Linked DNA regions of Tamandua tetradactyla. The protein of the gene in region 1 interacts with the protein of each later gene in a pairwise test. Links are inferred from orthologs where the notes say so. Each region holds a gene or a part of one and is shown on either strand. Other genes may lie near its edges.

Region 1 (7,818 bases):
CTGCGTTTACGAAATGATGACAACATGATGGAGGAATGCGGAGTCTAAAGAGGGAGGGGGAAGAGCAAAATAACAAGCATCTATGGGCAAACTGAACAAAATTTCAAAATGAAGAAAACAGACCTTTAAAAATACATGAATACAGATAAAAATCAATTTTCAGATATTTTCCTATCTCCTTTGACATTCTATACAGTTTCTATCTCTATCTCACCAGGGATTTAAAATGTGGAAAGAGAACCAAGGTTCTCTGATCTTTAACTGTTAGTATCTCTGTGTGCTGCCTCAACCAAGTCACGGCTCCTTTTCAGCCTGTTTACCCACTCATCCAATAAATTTACAATACTCTTTAAAACAAAACATGCCTCCCCCCACGACCCACACTCCAAGTTCATTGAGAATCTCAGGACTAGATGATTCCTAAACTCCCTCTCATTCACAAATAAAATAGCATGCTTTCATGAAATTATCAGAAACAAGAATGAACTCAAGCTAAAAACATCTGACTTGGGCCAAGTTTGCAGGTAAATTTCCAGCAAATACTACTTCCTGCTCAAACATGGTATAAGAGAATACGCAAAAAAGGTGGAAGGGGGATGATGGTTCAAATGCACAGCTGCTCCAGTCAACTGGTTCCAAGTGATCAACTATGCCTTCTTTCTCTGCATTCCTAGAGTCAGCATTTGCAATCAGGGTGTTGCATTCTTCTCCTGGACTCAGACAACCACAGCTGAAAAGCTGAAGCAGGCAGGCGTGCATAATTAGTGAAGTCCTCGCACAGTCCACTGAGGATTGATTACACAGGCAGGCCGGCTTCAGGCCCCCTGTCCTTAGTGTAGGTTCAGCAATGACAGGACTGTGGTGGAATATTCCAGAGCTCCATTTCTCATGATCTGCAACTGGCCCCTCCCTTTGGGATGAAGGTGGGTAGGAAAAGTAGGGAAAATTCTGACCCAGGAAACCAAACGATATACTTAAAACAGCTCTTCCACACCTAAATTTATTCATCGGATTGCTTCACAGGCTCACATTAGAGCCTGTGACATACCATATTTCTCCAAATACTAGATTACTACAAAACACACTGCACCAAGAAAAAAGCATATCAGAATTAGTTACTAAACTGATAGTTTACCAACAAGAAACGCTTCAGGGCGGGCCGCGGTGGCTCAGCGGGCAAGAGTGCTTGCCTGCCATGCCGGAGGACCCCGGTTCGATTCCCGGCCCCAGCCCATGTGAAAAACAAACAAACAAACAAAATATAATAAAAATAAAGATGTTTCCCTTTCTTCCTCCCATCCTTCCTTCCTTCTCTGTCTTTCTTTCCTTCCTTTAAAAAAAAAAAAAAAAGAAACGCTTCACACCTGTCCACTATCGAGTAAATCCTCCTTTTGAATCTTTCCATTTTAGGTCCCTAGATAACTGCTAACACACTTTGAGGGTCCCTTTGAGTAATTATTGGCCCAGTTACTAAAAAGGGATTGTTAATTTCCTGCACAGAGGCACTTACTGCAGAGCATATTTTTTTCCTGCAGCACTTTTTTTTTTAATAACTTTGACTTCATTTTGACCTTTCAAAATCTAAGACATTAGCTACAACGAAAGGTAAATTTTCTAGTTTAAGTTGGAACCTTGGCTCAATGGCTTCATACAGCTAGTGTTCCCACTGCTATTCTTGGGATTGTTGCTGGGCCTTGGCTGTGCAGGACACCCCCACCCTTCCATCTTTGATACATTCTGCTTCACTTAAGTCCAATTGCTATGACGACGCAATTTCTCAACACATTATGAAAATACTTCATATGGTCTCTTTTCTATTCTCCCCTCACAGCCATGATTCTACGTTTTTCTAAAACACCATGATGAAGACAGAATAAAGGGCCTTAAATATTTTAGGATCTATTACATAAAAGACATTTGACAAGGTGTTACAGCAGTTCAAGCATCATCTCAGCCCAATTCCATGGGCTACTCAGGCTTTCCTTTGAAACATCTCAACCCTTAACTTTAACAAATCTCTTTTATCCCAATACAGTAAAGAGATCTTGAAAAGCAAATTTCACTGGAAAGCACCAAATTCTGAGACACGGCTTTCAAACAAAAGACTGCCCAATTATTCAACATTAGCATGATTGTAAAAATTCTGTCTAGTAACATACTGCTCTCGACCGAAAGACCCGGCCTTCGGGAGAAAAAAGACCCTAAGACATTAAATTATTCGATTTGGGTCTTCTACAAAGCAAGCACTGCATCTACCTATTGTTTACAAGGAGAGCACAACTGAGGAGGAAAGAAATGTTTATTACAAGGAAGAAAACGAGACGGCTAGTCTCGGACCTTTCCGCGCCTAGAGTGAGTCAAGAATCGCCATACAGAATGAAATGAAGTTCCAAGAGATCCTTATGCTTTTTGGGCCCTTCCTCCTTCAGGGGTCGGGCAGGCACTGCTGCTGAACCTCAATCTTGCGGTGATTTGGGAAAATGAGCTGCAGGAGTCGCTCCCACAGAGGGAAAGGATTGGGGCTGTTGATGGGGGCACTCTTCAAAAACGGGGATGGTAAAGATCCCGACGAGGGCCCCCACCCCACCTGCCGCAGCCGGGTGGAACAGGGCGGGGCCGCAACCCGGCTGGGACTGAGAGGAGGGTGCTGAGAAGAACCCGACGGCACTTCCCCCCTCCCCCCAGTAAATGACATTCCAGCCGCCGGCGCCGGAGCTCTGCCAGGCTGCCTATCCGCAACCCACGCGCCACAAAGCCGGTCGCGGCCGGCTCGGCCGGCTCCTGGAGACCGAAGGGAGCAGTGAGGCGGGCTCGGCTCACCTGTCCGCGCGCTGGCCCCGCCCCGCCCTAGGGGCTTCCCTGTTCGCCGCTTCCCGGTGGCCCGGCTCTCGGACCTCAGGTCTCCTGCCTTCGGGCCCTGCTCCCACCCCGAGCTACCCCGCACTCCCTCTCACCCGCTCCTGGGGGATGAGAGGGTGCTGAGGGACCGACCCGCCACCTCAGCCTCCGATCCTCGCCGTTCGCTCCGCAGCGGATAGTGGCGGCGACGCGCGCGCCCTGCCTCTTTTATAGACGGCCAAGCGCGTTCTGGCAGCCGGCGGGCGCGAGCGCGGGGGAAGCGCCCTAACGCTATTCAAGGGGCGGGGGAGAGCTGTTGCGGAGCAAAGGGGGCGGAGTTCCTGCGGCTTCGCCTCGCCACCGCCTGGCGGAAAGAGCCGAACGCTCCCGGAAGGAGCCGAAGAGGCGAGGCAGAGGAAGAGGCGAGGGTGGGGAGGGAAGCAGATCGGTGGGGAAACTGGGCGCGCGCAAGGAGTGGGGGTTGGTGGTGCACCGGCGTCAGTGCCCTTCGCCCATGGGACCGAGATGCTTCAGTTGCACCCCAATCCGTGGAGTTTAGGTCCTCTAATCCTGCCCCTCCGTTCCCTGCAGAGATCTTCTGCACCCCACCCCTCCGCCCCTGGGAGCCCTTCCAGGACTGCGGCGAAGGGCGGGGCAGGGGCCATGGTTGCAGTCTGGTTGGGGATGCTGCGCCGCGCCGGAAAAACGCCTAGTCCCAAAGGGTGAGGTCACCAGTAAGCTTTCTTTTTCCTGCCCACTTTCGGTAGGAGGAGGCTGCTGCTGGTGAGCCCAGTCTGCTCTCCCCGCAGCCATGCTCTGATGGGGACAAGGGTCAAAAAAACCGACAATGATACTGGGCCCAGTTTGAGAGGGTGGTAACGAGAAAAGGTCAGATCTACATCATAAAAAAATAAAATCGGTTTATTTACTGGAATGTAAATCTGTCGTTCTGAAATCTGGGGAGTTAATTTCTTATGTTTTTACAACAAAAGCATTCTCACGGTCTCAGTTGCCAATAGAATAGGATGTATTAATCTTATTTTATAAACAACACATTGTTTTCTCTGCCACAATGAACTCAACTATCCTCATGTACTAGGCAGTCTGCTAAGCACTTCATGTATATTACCTTAAAAAAATTATTTTTGCAATGAATGTATGAAGTAGATAGTATTTCCCGCATTTTACAAATGAGCACCCTGACAGAGGCCTCTTGCCCAACGTCACAAAGCTAGCAAGCAGAAAAACTATCTAGATTTGAATCCAAGTGGTCAGAATCTTCTCTCAAACAGTGTGCTATACTGTCTTTCCACAGGAAAGGGAGGCATTGTGGTGCAGATGAATGCTGGGCTGCTTAGAAGGGAAAAATAAGATACCTCCTAGCAGTTTAAGGGCCTGGTTCTAAACCAGAAACCTTTCTCATCCCCATTCTGGTGACAGCTGGGTCACGGCATTGAGAGCAACACTCAGGTCATTCCTGTGCAACACTCAGGTCATTCCTGTGCAGCCAGGCAGACTAGAAACTCATGAAAGCAGCTCATGAAGGTCTCAGCCTCCTGGTTACCAAGCAGCCCTCCTCTTTAAATAAATATAAAGGCACTGGGCACTGCACCAGAACCTGGGCCAGGCCCAGCCCTGAGCTTCCTGGTCCCCTTCAGTTTGTCTTCTTTCTCTGTGCCAGGAATCTGCAATCTAGTTTCTAAGCTGCCTTGGTTATAGCCATGATAGTGAGGAAAAATTCCCCCAGTCCCTCACTCCACCAGAGTGGTGGAAAAAGAAAAGGAGTGGTCACACCCCAGAAATGTGAAGGAAACATGTAGGAGCTGAGAGGCATTTCCTGCAATCTTCTATGTAGAGAAAACAAAGCCTGGTAACTCCTCCCTAGAGTGTGTGCATTTCTGCAAACAGCTGATGGCGTCAAGCCTCCTCTCTAGTAAGTAGCAGCAAAATGTTTCATCAAACATGGGTACAAAATGGCTAACACAAAATGTTTTTTATTCTAAAATTGCCAAGACCACTCTGCTCCAGCAAGGAATAGGATCTGAAGGCTGCGGGTAGGAGCTATAAAGAGAGAGAATTTTTCTTTTAAATCGTCCTGGCCTCAGTGAAATGAGTGTTTTGCTGCTTTTGCCAAATGTAAAACAGATTGGAGATTAAGGGCTCCTGAATGAATACAAAACCTAAAATCTTGTTTGTTGATCTTTTGTCTGATCTGAAACATGACCAAGAAACAGTATTCCCGGTCCTCCCTACCTCCTACTCGCTCATCCACTCTATTCTGCATTTGATGCTGGAAATAAAACATTTAAAAAGCATTCTTTCTTCACGTAATTCTATTGTCTGCCTACCTCACCTCCTACCTATTTCACTGAAAGCCTAACACTCTGCTTAGGTGTGCAGAGAGGGAAAGGATAAAGCAGATAACGACCCTCTTCGTTTTCTGAGACTCATTCAGAAACACACACACATAGGAAACACACATTGGTACAGCAGCTCTGTAAACAATCAATTCCACATTCTCAATCACATCTCTCTTGGTTGCTGGAATAGCAGCCACAAGACTGAATTTTAAGTTCCTTTATATCTACAGCAGTCTTCGGAAGGTTTGACATGCACCTTTTAAGCTTAAGCATCTCTGTATCCCAGTATCTATTTAAGTTGTTCAGAATGGACAAACACTGGGAAATACACTAATTGTAATGAGTTGCAGCCATGTAAAGTCAGTTGCCACTCCCTGGGAGGGAACACACACACACACACACAGCAAAGCTGACAGGCAAGCACTTCCACTATTTACCCTCTCTTCAAGGGAGCTGATTGGGAAGAGTCATGGGCTGGCAAGCGGACTGTACTTTTTCCCTGGTGACATTCTGCAGTATCAGAGCCAACAAGGAATAGCACAGATCTTCAAACGCAGTTACTGCTTCTGAAAGAGGGGGCATTAGAGCAGAGGCTGATGGAAGAAGAATCCCAATACCTTGGAGCGTGGTGTTGCCAGGCTGGCTTGCTTAAGAGGACCTCCATGTAATGGCAAAGAAGTGAACTCCTCTCCCTCCCTACCTTCATTGTCCTAATCAGGGTCATTTCACATCTGTATTCTTGTGGGACTGCCTGTTAGGCCCAGTCTCCTTCCCTCACATTCATCTTGAACACACTATTAGAACTAGTTGCATAAACTACATCAAACCTTCTCTAAACCTTTAATAGCTTTCCATTGCCTATAGGAGAGCCCAAACTATTTAGAGTCCAGAGCCTCCACAATCTTGTTCCAACTTATCTTCCCGGCATCGTATCTCATTGTTTTCTCCACTAACCCTGAGTTTAGCCACTTCCTAAACACATCGTGTATTTTCCAACTTCATGGTTTTGCTTTTACTTTTTCCACTAATTAGAATGTCCTTCTTCCCTGACACCCACCTCTCATTTCTGCCTGGCAAATCTTAGCCATTTTGAATATGTGTAGTCAGAACTTTTCTGGAAGAACAGCTTGGCAAAATGGATCAAAATATAAACTCTACATACCATTTGACCCAGCAATGTTACATTTAGGAATTTATCCTAAGGAAGTAGGACAAGACTGAAGAATGTAATAATTATAAGAAATTAGAAACAACCTAGTCATCGATTGAAAACTGGCTAATTATGATTCATAAATTCAACAGACTGTAATGGTTATGTAAACTCATATAGGTTGACATGAAAAAATAGATATTACTGAATGATAGCAAGTTACAGAACAATATGGGTACTGAGTCCATTTACTTAAGAACTATATTCATATATCTGTGTATCTGTGCATAGACATGACTAAAATAACTTTCAAAATGGGTAACTAAAATTGAAAATATTTGTGGGACTTTCTTACTCTCTTCTTTTTGGCATGTGCAGGCTCTGGGAATCGAACCCGGTCTTATTATCTTTTTTAAAATTTCAAGTATCTGGATCAAATACTATCCACAAGATACCTTCTTGATTATCCCAACCTACAAGCAAAGCATTTCAAAAAGTGTATTCCCAGAAACACTAATCCCAAGAGAAGCTCTGGAAATAGAAGTCCCACTGTCAGTTTGGTACACAATGCAAACTCTTGGAGGTTAATAACTCGAAGGAGCACAATTAAAGCACTAAAAAATTCTAGAAGACAGAGTTTTTATTTTCTTTACTCTCTAAACTTTTTATTAGACTATTTCAAAGATAGATATAGTAAACTTCCATATGATTATCACCTGGCTTCAACAATTATCAACTTTCATTCTTATTCCATTTATTATATCACCTGATTTAGTTTTGTTTTTTTTAGTGCGGTGACAAATATATATTTATATCATAAAATTTTATATATTAACATTTTTTTTTCCTTTGAGTATTCATTCCACTTCTTTCTCTCTTTCTTCTCCTTCTGGGACTCCCATAATGAGTATATTGGTACACTTGATGGTGTTCCACAGATCTCTTAGGCACTATTAGCTTTTTTTTGCTGTTGTTCTTTTTATTTTTTTTCTTATTTGACACCATTAGTTTTAATTTTTTTTTTTTTGGAGTAGTCTTTTTAAAAAAATTTTTATTAATAAAACCAATCAACATACAACATGAACATTCTTTTTTTCCATCACATAGTTGTATATTCATCATCGTGATCATTTCTTAGAACATTTGCATCAATTCAGAAAAGAAATAAAAAGAGAAAAAAATCATGCATTCCATACCCCTTACCCTTCTCTTTCATTGATCACTAGCATTTCAATCTACTAAATTTATATTAACATTTGTTCCCCCTATTATTGATTTTTAATCCGTATGTTTTACTCATCTGTCCATAAGGTAGATAAAAGGAGCATCAGACACAAGGTTTTCACAATCACACAGTTACATTGTGGAAGATTTATCATTATACAATCATCTTCAAGAAACATGGCTACTGGAACACAGCTCTACATTTCAGGCAGTTCCTCCAGCCTGTTACACCTTAACTAAAACGGT
Region 2 (7,391 bases), on another chromosome or scaffold:
GACAGAGACAGTTTCCTTAGACTGGATGGTTGCCTTTTTGGTACTGAGAACCACCATCTAGTTAGTCAGATGGTGCAAAGTGCAGGAAAAAAAGAGGTGGGGTTTCCACACACTCCCAATATCCTGAAGTAAAAGGTTTTCTGCAGACATGGGCCTGCAGCCTCCAGCTCTGCCAGCTGCTGACAAGCGGCAGTTAACAGGGAGGCAGCGAGAAAACCATGTGATCATTCCAGCAAGTCTGATTAATGCAGTGTGTGCTAAGGCTCCAGGCTGGGAGCTGGATTAGTCTAGTGAAATAAGTTGGACCTGGGGCATGCCTGGGACCATGGGTAATCATGAAACACCACCACTCCCTCACTATTACCCCCAGAATTTTACAGGAGAGTGGGAAAAGCTTAAAGGAATGAGAAAGCAACCTGTTCCATTATGAACTACCTAATTACCTCATCCTCCCATGGCTGTGGCTGCTCTAATGACCAAGCATAACCAGAATTATAAGTGAATACAGCAAATAATGATACACAGGCTATCTTTTACCCAAAGTCAGTTCACTGAAAAATTCTCCTAAATTTTGTGCTTTACCATTCCATTACCAAGCTTCATTTTCACACAAATGCATAAGACGCAACAGAATCTCAACAATCACACTTTGTGCTCATCTTCACCCCAATCAAATTACCTTGCATGTCACCATGTTAGTGTCCCCATCTATTTGATTATTCATTTATTGAGTGTCTAATATATACTAGGTTCTCATCAATTCCTTGACGTACAACTACTATAATAATTTCAGAACAGAACAGAAATTAAGAAACAAGAAATGAGACGCAAGCCAAAAGAAGAGAGAAATGTTTACCAGTTTGTAAAGCCCAAGCTGGCAAGATTTGCCAAATGAGCTGAGGCTGTATTCTGAAACTTGCCATTAAGGAGAATCTTCAGCCTTTGCATTGCAAATCTTGAAAAAAGAAGGGAGACAAATCCCAAATAAAAACCCATGAGTCATTCTTAACTTTTTCTGTTCTTTCCCTCACACCACAAATGTAATCAGTCACTGATTCTGATTCTCCTTAGGATGACTTCTTTGACTCTGGCCCTTTTCCCCCATCCCCATGCCCATGGCTTTCATCATCTCTCAGTCAGTCTTGTTACTAGTCGTCTTCTTCTGTCCCTTCTCTAAAAATCTGTAGAGCAACCTTTCTAAATCTGATTGATGCCCCTTTTCCCACTTTAAAACTGCTTTAGTTCCTTGGTGCCCACAAGATGAGTAAAAACTCCTTGGCCTGGCCTGCACAATCTTATTGCTCCAATTTTCTTTCATCAAAACACTTCTAAAACCTCAAAATTCAGCCAGACATTCCAGTTCCCAAAATATGCCTAGATCTTCCTTCTGGGGTCCATGGGCCAACCAGACCATATTATTCATTGCTCCCTAATCCTGACCTGCACCCTCTGTGCTGCCTATGCTGTCCCTCGGCTGCTGGCTGCCTCCCCAGGACCCTGAGCTGTCCCTAGGACAGTTGGTGGTCCCCTCTGTGCTGCTAACTGCATACCAAGCTGGCATTTTGTCCTCCCCCCTTACTCCCTTGGAAACCTGTGAGTTCATCAAGGGCTGGGATTGTGTGAGGTTAATTTTGTATTCCTCATGCCTTGAACATATCTTACCAGAACAGTTATTCAGTAATGGTCTGTAGAGTGAACCTCCATGTGCCTCAGTTTTCTATTAGGGAGACAGGCAATCTAGTACCTGTGTTCACACGAAGGTGCCCAGAGGCGGCCTTCTGTCTATAGTTTGTTCCATCTCAAAGAAATGAAGCGATAATGACAAGCTGAGGCAGGCCAACTAGTGAGGACACTATTCTGGGGACTCCTGTGGTCCCTCAAACCAAACAGTTATGATGTACTAAGCTGGTACAGGAATGCCTTCCACAATGTTCCTGACAAGCCTCCACCTGGGCCCTCTCCGCTGAGAGCTTCTGGCAGAATCATGGTTATCACAGAAAACAGGGGATTCAGTCATTAAAGAACTCAGTGTTAAGTCCCAATTCTGCCATATACTAGCTTTGCGATTGCTAGCAAGCTACTTAAGTTCTCTGAGTCTTGGAGTCTCCAGGTCTAAATATAGAATAACAGTAACACTGCCCAGGCCTCTCTCAGAGATTGCTGTCAGGACCCCATAATGGAGCTGTAAAATCCTTTATCAAGTGTATAAAGACACGTCATCATTCATCATCTTTATCATCTCACAAGATGGCCTCTCCCTGGACAGCGTGGACTGCTGGAAGGCTCATCTTTATGATGAGGGATACCTCCTAATTGAAGCATTTTGTCTGTTCACTAGCAGTTTATTTATTTGGACACATATGTATTATGTATAAAACCACTGTCCTAAATTCTAGGTTAAAAAAATAAATAAAACAACAGTTTTGAGATTACCCAAGTCCTAGGAAGAGCAATCACCCAGACCAAATACAATTATATGACTACCTGGATCTACTCAGGTGGGATGGAGAAAGGAGCAGCTGGTAGTCAGCCAGAAGCAAACTTCTTGGGGGAACTTACCAGAGCATCTTTTTACTGAGCCTTCACAACCTTGAGGGCAGAGCTAGCAAACCATAGATACACAAATAACTTTTGATAGATTTGTTAGTTTGAGGAAGTCTACATTCTCGGCTCTCTTTGCAAAGTACAAGAGGAAGAGTAGTAGTCTGAATTTCTAGGCATCTGGCACAGTGCTAACTGGTCTAATTTGCTTTAGCATTGCTAAAACCCACAAGGTAGGTCCAGTGTAACAGAAGGTCTAATGGGATGGACAATCTCTAGACAGTGCCTGTTTTCCACCAGTGATTCAAACCTCCTGTTGGAGAGCTGGTTATATCTTGTATGAAAATTCATAAGGTCCTAGTAGAGAGACGAGTGGATAGAAATGGTGAAAAATCTCCAAATCCCAGCACAAAATGCACTTTAGACGTAATTTTATGAGATTTCTTTCCTAATAAAGAAACCAAGGACAAGTATCTAATAAGTTGCCCTGGGTCTTAGAGCTTTTAAATGGCAGAGCAATAACTTGGGATTCAGGTTGGTTTGACTCCACCATTATTTATTTATTTTTAACTTTTTTTTATTGTATAGTATAACATATATACAAAGCAAAGAAATAAAAAAGCAATAGTTTTCAAAGCATTCTTCAACAAGTGGTTACAGGACAGATCCCAGAGTCTGTCATGGGCTACCATACGATCCTCTCAGATTTTTCCTTCTAGCTACTCCAGAATATAGGTGACTCCACCACTTTTAACCCTTATGCCCCACTGGGGTTTTGGGACCTGCATCTATGAGTCCTTCTGGTTTATTTTATCCACCTGGCCCTGGCCAAAGTGTCAAGAACAGGGGCATAAAGGAGGTTCCATGACTGTTCTACACCTTTCCAGCCCAGGACTTGAAAAAGCACTTGTGTGACCACACAATGATTAAACAACAAAAAGAGTCACTCTAAGTCATCTAGCAATGACTAAAGACTTAGACAAAGTTGTTATTACTCCGGGGCTCAATTTCCCTTTCTACCCCGAAGGAACAGCCAGATATTCAGAATTTTGGTTTTTGTCTTTGCTTTCTTTTTGAAATAACACTTAATATGAACCCTAAAATACAAAACTGATAAAAGCAGAAGAGTTCTGGTTGAGAAGGGATGGAGGGACCCCCAGTGTTCCTGCTGCTACGCTTTACTTTCTCTTCAGTAGGGACAGACATAGACACAGTCTGAAAACACCCCGTGAAATGACTCCAGCAGTCCCTGCCAGTGCCAGGACTGTGTGGGACACTCTGAGCTATACACATTCCCCACTGTGTGCACAGATGTGAGACAGGAGAAAAAAGTGAAAATCAGTTCCTATGGTGACTAAAATACTATTCTTTTCTCATGGCCCAACCAAGGATTTTTCAGATAAGCAGGGGCCTACGTGGTAACAAGAGCTTCTCTATAGTCTCCTCAATGGCCCAGCTTCTATCCCCTTACTTCTCATTTCTTCCACCCTCTAAATAAGAGCCTCCTCATCTCTGCCTGGTCCCCCTGCCAGGCTCACCTCTTCCTGTACAGTCTTCTATGCACAGTCTCCTACTCTGGCAAACTTCCATTAAACCCACACCTCTTTTCATGGTCCGCAGAATAGAGTCTTGGTTCCTCTGTGAGGTGGCCCATTATGCCCTCAACCCACCTCCCATGCATGTCTCCTCATGGACCCCTGGCTGGTCCCAGCCCACCTCCACTCCTGGCTCACCTTTTCTTGAAAACCTGCTTTATGCCTTCTCTCACAAGTGGGTATGGAAAGGTGTGGTGCTGAGTCTAGTTTTATTCATGTTCCCTGAGAAGGCAGGGGCAAGTTTTCCCCAGTCTCAGCCTCTTAAGATGGGAGAAGGTAGCACCTGCTCTGTGGGAATGCTGCAGAAATGAAATACCTGGCCCCTGTGAGCCACAATCAACAATATTATGGCAAATGCTTCAAAACCCTAGTATGCACCCCTCCTGACTCAAACCAGCCCCTAGTGAGCACTAAATCTCCAAAATTCCCATTGATAATCAATATCCATTTTAAAATCTTACATCCTGTCCTGTTCTGAGTAACCTTTGCCCACTTTCCTGTCTCAGATCTCTAACGAGACGCACACGTGTCACTGAGGACAGGGACTAGTGGGGTTGGCATGGGGGAGACATGAAGAGCTCAGTTTCCCATAATCTCCACTAGACACTAGTCCTCACTCCCAGAAATGCACAGACCCCTCCGAGGAAAAACAGCATGCTAAGGGCAGCTTCAAGCTAAATTCATGATGCTTTGGGCCAGTATCCCCCAATTCTGGACAGCATTCAGGCACTGTGCCGGTTTGGCACTATCATGTACCCCAGAAAAGCCATGTTCTTTAATCCTCATTCAATGTTGCTGGGTGAGATCTTTTTAATTGTTACCATGGAGTTGTGACCCACCCAACTGTGGGTAGTAACTTTTGATTAGATGGTTTCCATGGAGATGTGTCACCACCCATTCAAAGTGGGGTTGCTTACTGGAGCCCTTTAAGAGGGAACCATTTTGGACAAAGCTTTACTGCCAGCAGAGCCCACACAGCCAGAGATCTTTGGAGATGAAAAAGGAAAACACCCCCAGAAAAGTCTTATGAAACGAAGAGAGAAAGCTAGATGTTGCCATGTGTCTTTCCGGCTGAGAGGTGTCCAGAAGCCAGAGACCCTGGCAGACACCAGCCACATGTCCTCCCAGTTTCAGAGGTATTCCGGATGGTATCAGCCTTTCTTAAGTGATGGTAACCTCTTGTGGGAGCCTTAGTTTGGACATTTCTATGACTTTAGAACCATAAACTTGCAACTTAGTAAATTCCTCTTTTAAAAGCCATTCTGTTTCTGGCATACTGCATTCTGGCAGCTTAGGGAACTAAAACAGGCACTGACCAAGGTTTACAGTCCTTTCTAAGCCTTCACAAGGCACAGGACAAGTTAAGCAGCTGATAGGCTTTGGATTTACTGAATGCCTTTTTATTCTTGTTGAATTAACCTTTCCAAAAATTAAAAACAAAACTAAATTAAACCTGCTGAATTGATAGGAAATCTTAAATGTGATAGGAAATCTTAAATGTGAGTTCTATACTTTGGACTAAGTCTTACCCCCAAATTTCATCATTCAACTGAACTTCTTTAGTATATTTAATTTTAAAATAGAAGTCTTAAATAAAACCATCCTTCACCTCAATTTTAAGTGAAATACTACCATAAAATACATATGTTTTTCCATCAACCAATACTCAAAAGTAGGACTTTACTGGTAATTACTTCTGAATTCAAGTCTATATTCATCTTTCTCATCATATAAGCACACTCTAAATATCTGTGCTAGGTTACTGAAAATTAACCTTTCAATCCTTCCACAAAACTTGAAGGGTTGCTATGTGCTAGAAACTTAACTATTCTAGCTTCTGTGAAGAGAGGAGTAATGAAGTCAAAGCCCCCAGTTTCATGGTGATTACATTCTAATGAACCTAATAAATAAGGAAAAGGATACAAAATAGGGCAATGTAGGAGAGAGTAATCTGGGGGCTACTAAATTTGGAAACGGTGACAGGGAAGGCCCTTCTGAGGTAGCGGCATTTCAGCTGAGATTTGGATAACAAGAAGCAGTCATTCATGCAAATATGAAGGAAGAGCATTACATGCAGAGCAAAGAAGCTGTACAAGGGGCCAAGAAGGATGAAGATAAGAGGTAAGTAGGGCTTTATCAGCCAGGGAACCCACTGGGCAGTTGTAAAAGGAAAATGTAAACAGGGAGACCAGTTAGAAGCCATTGCAGTAGTCTAGATAAGAGAAGATGGGTTTGGACTCAGGTGACAGTAGTAAACAAGTGAGAAGTTGATGATTTTAGGCACATTTTGGAGCAAGTCTCTCTCACAATTCAATTGTTCTGTGTGAGGTTCTTAGATCACTAATGAAACACAGCAAAGATGCAAAATCTTGCAACAGAAATACAAAGAACTCCACCAGGACCATAAGCTCCAGGAAGTGACAACTCTATGAAAGGAAGGATCTTACCTCCTCTTTACTCTTCTACCTATGGCTCTGGCATGCAGAATTATTCAAAACATATCAAGGTTTGTGGATTCTGAGAGATTTCATAAGAAAGTGCACATGGATTAAGTGAGCAGTCCTCTTTCTGGGGCAAGTGTCAAACAAATGGGCAGACTATCCTGCTGAATGAAAATATGCAGCTGCTCCAATGTCACCCTGATATTCAGAAATTTGCCAAGAAAGTCGTTTCAGGAATGGAGAGAAAATCAAGAAGACAAAAGCATGGAACGCTTTTATCCAGTCAAGGAATATTTACTGGGCACCTGCTATGTGTCTAGCACTGCTACATCCCTGGGAGGAGAGGGAGGTCAAAGAATAGTCCGGTACATTTAAGGCCTTTTAAAGAGTCAGGGACAGGGCATATATACCTAAAAACTTAAAATGATAATCTACAATGGTAAATCAATATGCAGGGTGTCTAAAATGTTATATTACCTGTTATGTTCATTTTTTTCCCCACTTCAACTGGCTGTTCTTCTTCTAAAGGTCTTCTTGAATCCTGGTTCTGCCATGCAGTTGGTGAGTGGCCAGAACACTGAGTTAGGGACTGAATATCTGGGCTCCTCCCTACCAGGTGAGTCAATTTATCTCTTGGAGTCCGTTTGTTCACCTATCAAATGTGGATGATAATTCCTGACCTATCCCCTCACAAATAAATCATGAGGATCAAATACAATAATAGCTATTGTTATTTTTCACAAAGAAGAAAGAAAAAAGGTGATTGAGGTGATAAAAAAATATTTAAGTCTTCTAGCCTCCTGTATTCTGGAGT

The links.
Region 2: the proteins of SPTAN1 (region 1) and EVL interact in binary tests that used the Homo sapiens proteins (3 or more experiments, as listed by UniProt). The link is inferred for Tamandua tetradactyla from reciprocal best matches to the Homo sapiens genes SPTAN1 and EVL.

The regions. Positions count from the first base shown.
Region 1 is NC_135328.1:51,382,991-51,390,808, reverse strand, and holds the start of SPTAN1 (spectrin alpha chain, non-erythrocytic 1), read right to left. Parts: upstream 3,088-7,818; 5' UTR 2,955-3,087; intron 1-2,954. UniProt on the Homo sapiens protein: Fodrin, which seems to be involved in secretion, interacts with calmodulin in a calcium-dependent manner and is thus candidate for the calcium-dependent movement of the cytoskeleton at the membrane.
Region 2 is NC_135338.1:61,272,583-61,279,973, reverse strand, and holds the start of EVL (ena/VASP-like protein), read right to left. Parts: upstream 3,109-7,391; 5' UTR 1-3,108. UniProt on the Homo sapiens protein: Ena/VASP proteins are actin-associated proteins involved in a range of processes dependent on cytoskeleton remodeling and cell polarity such as axon guidance and lamellipodial and filopodial dynamics in migrating cells.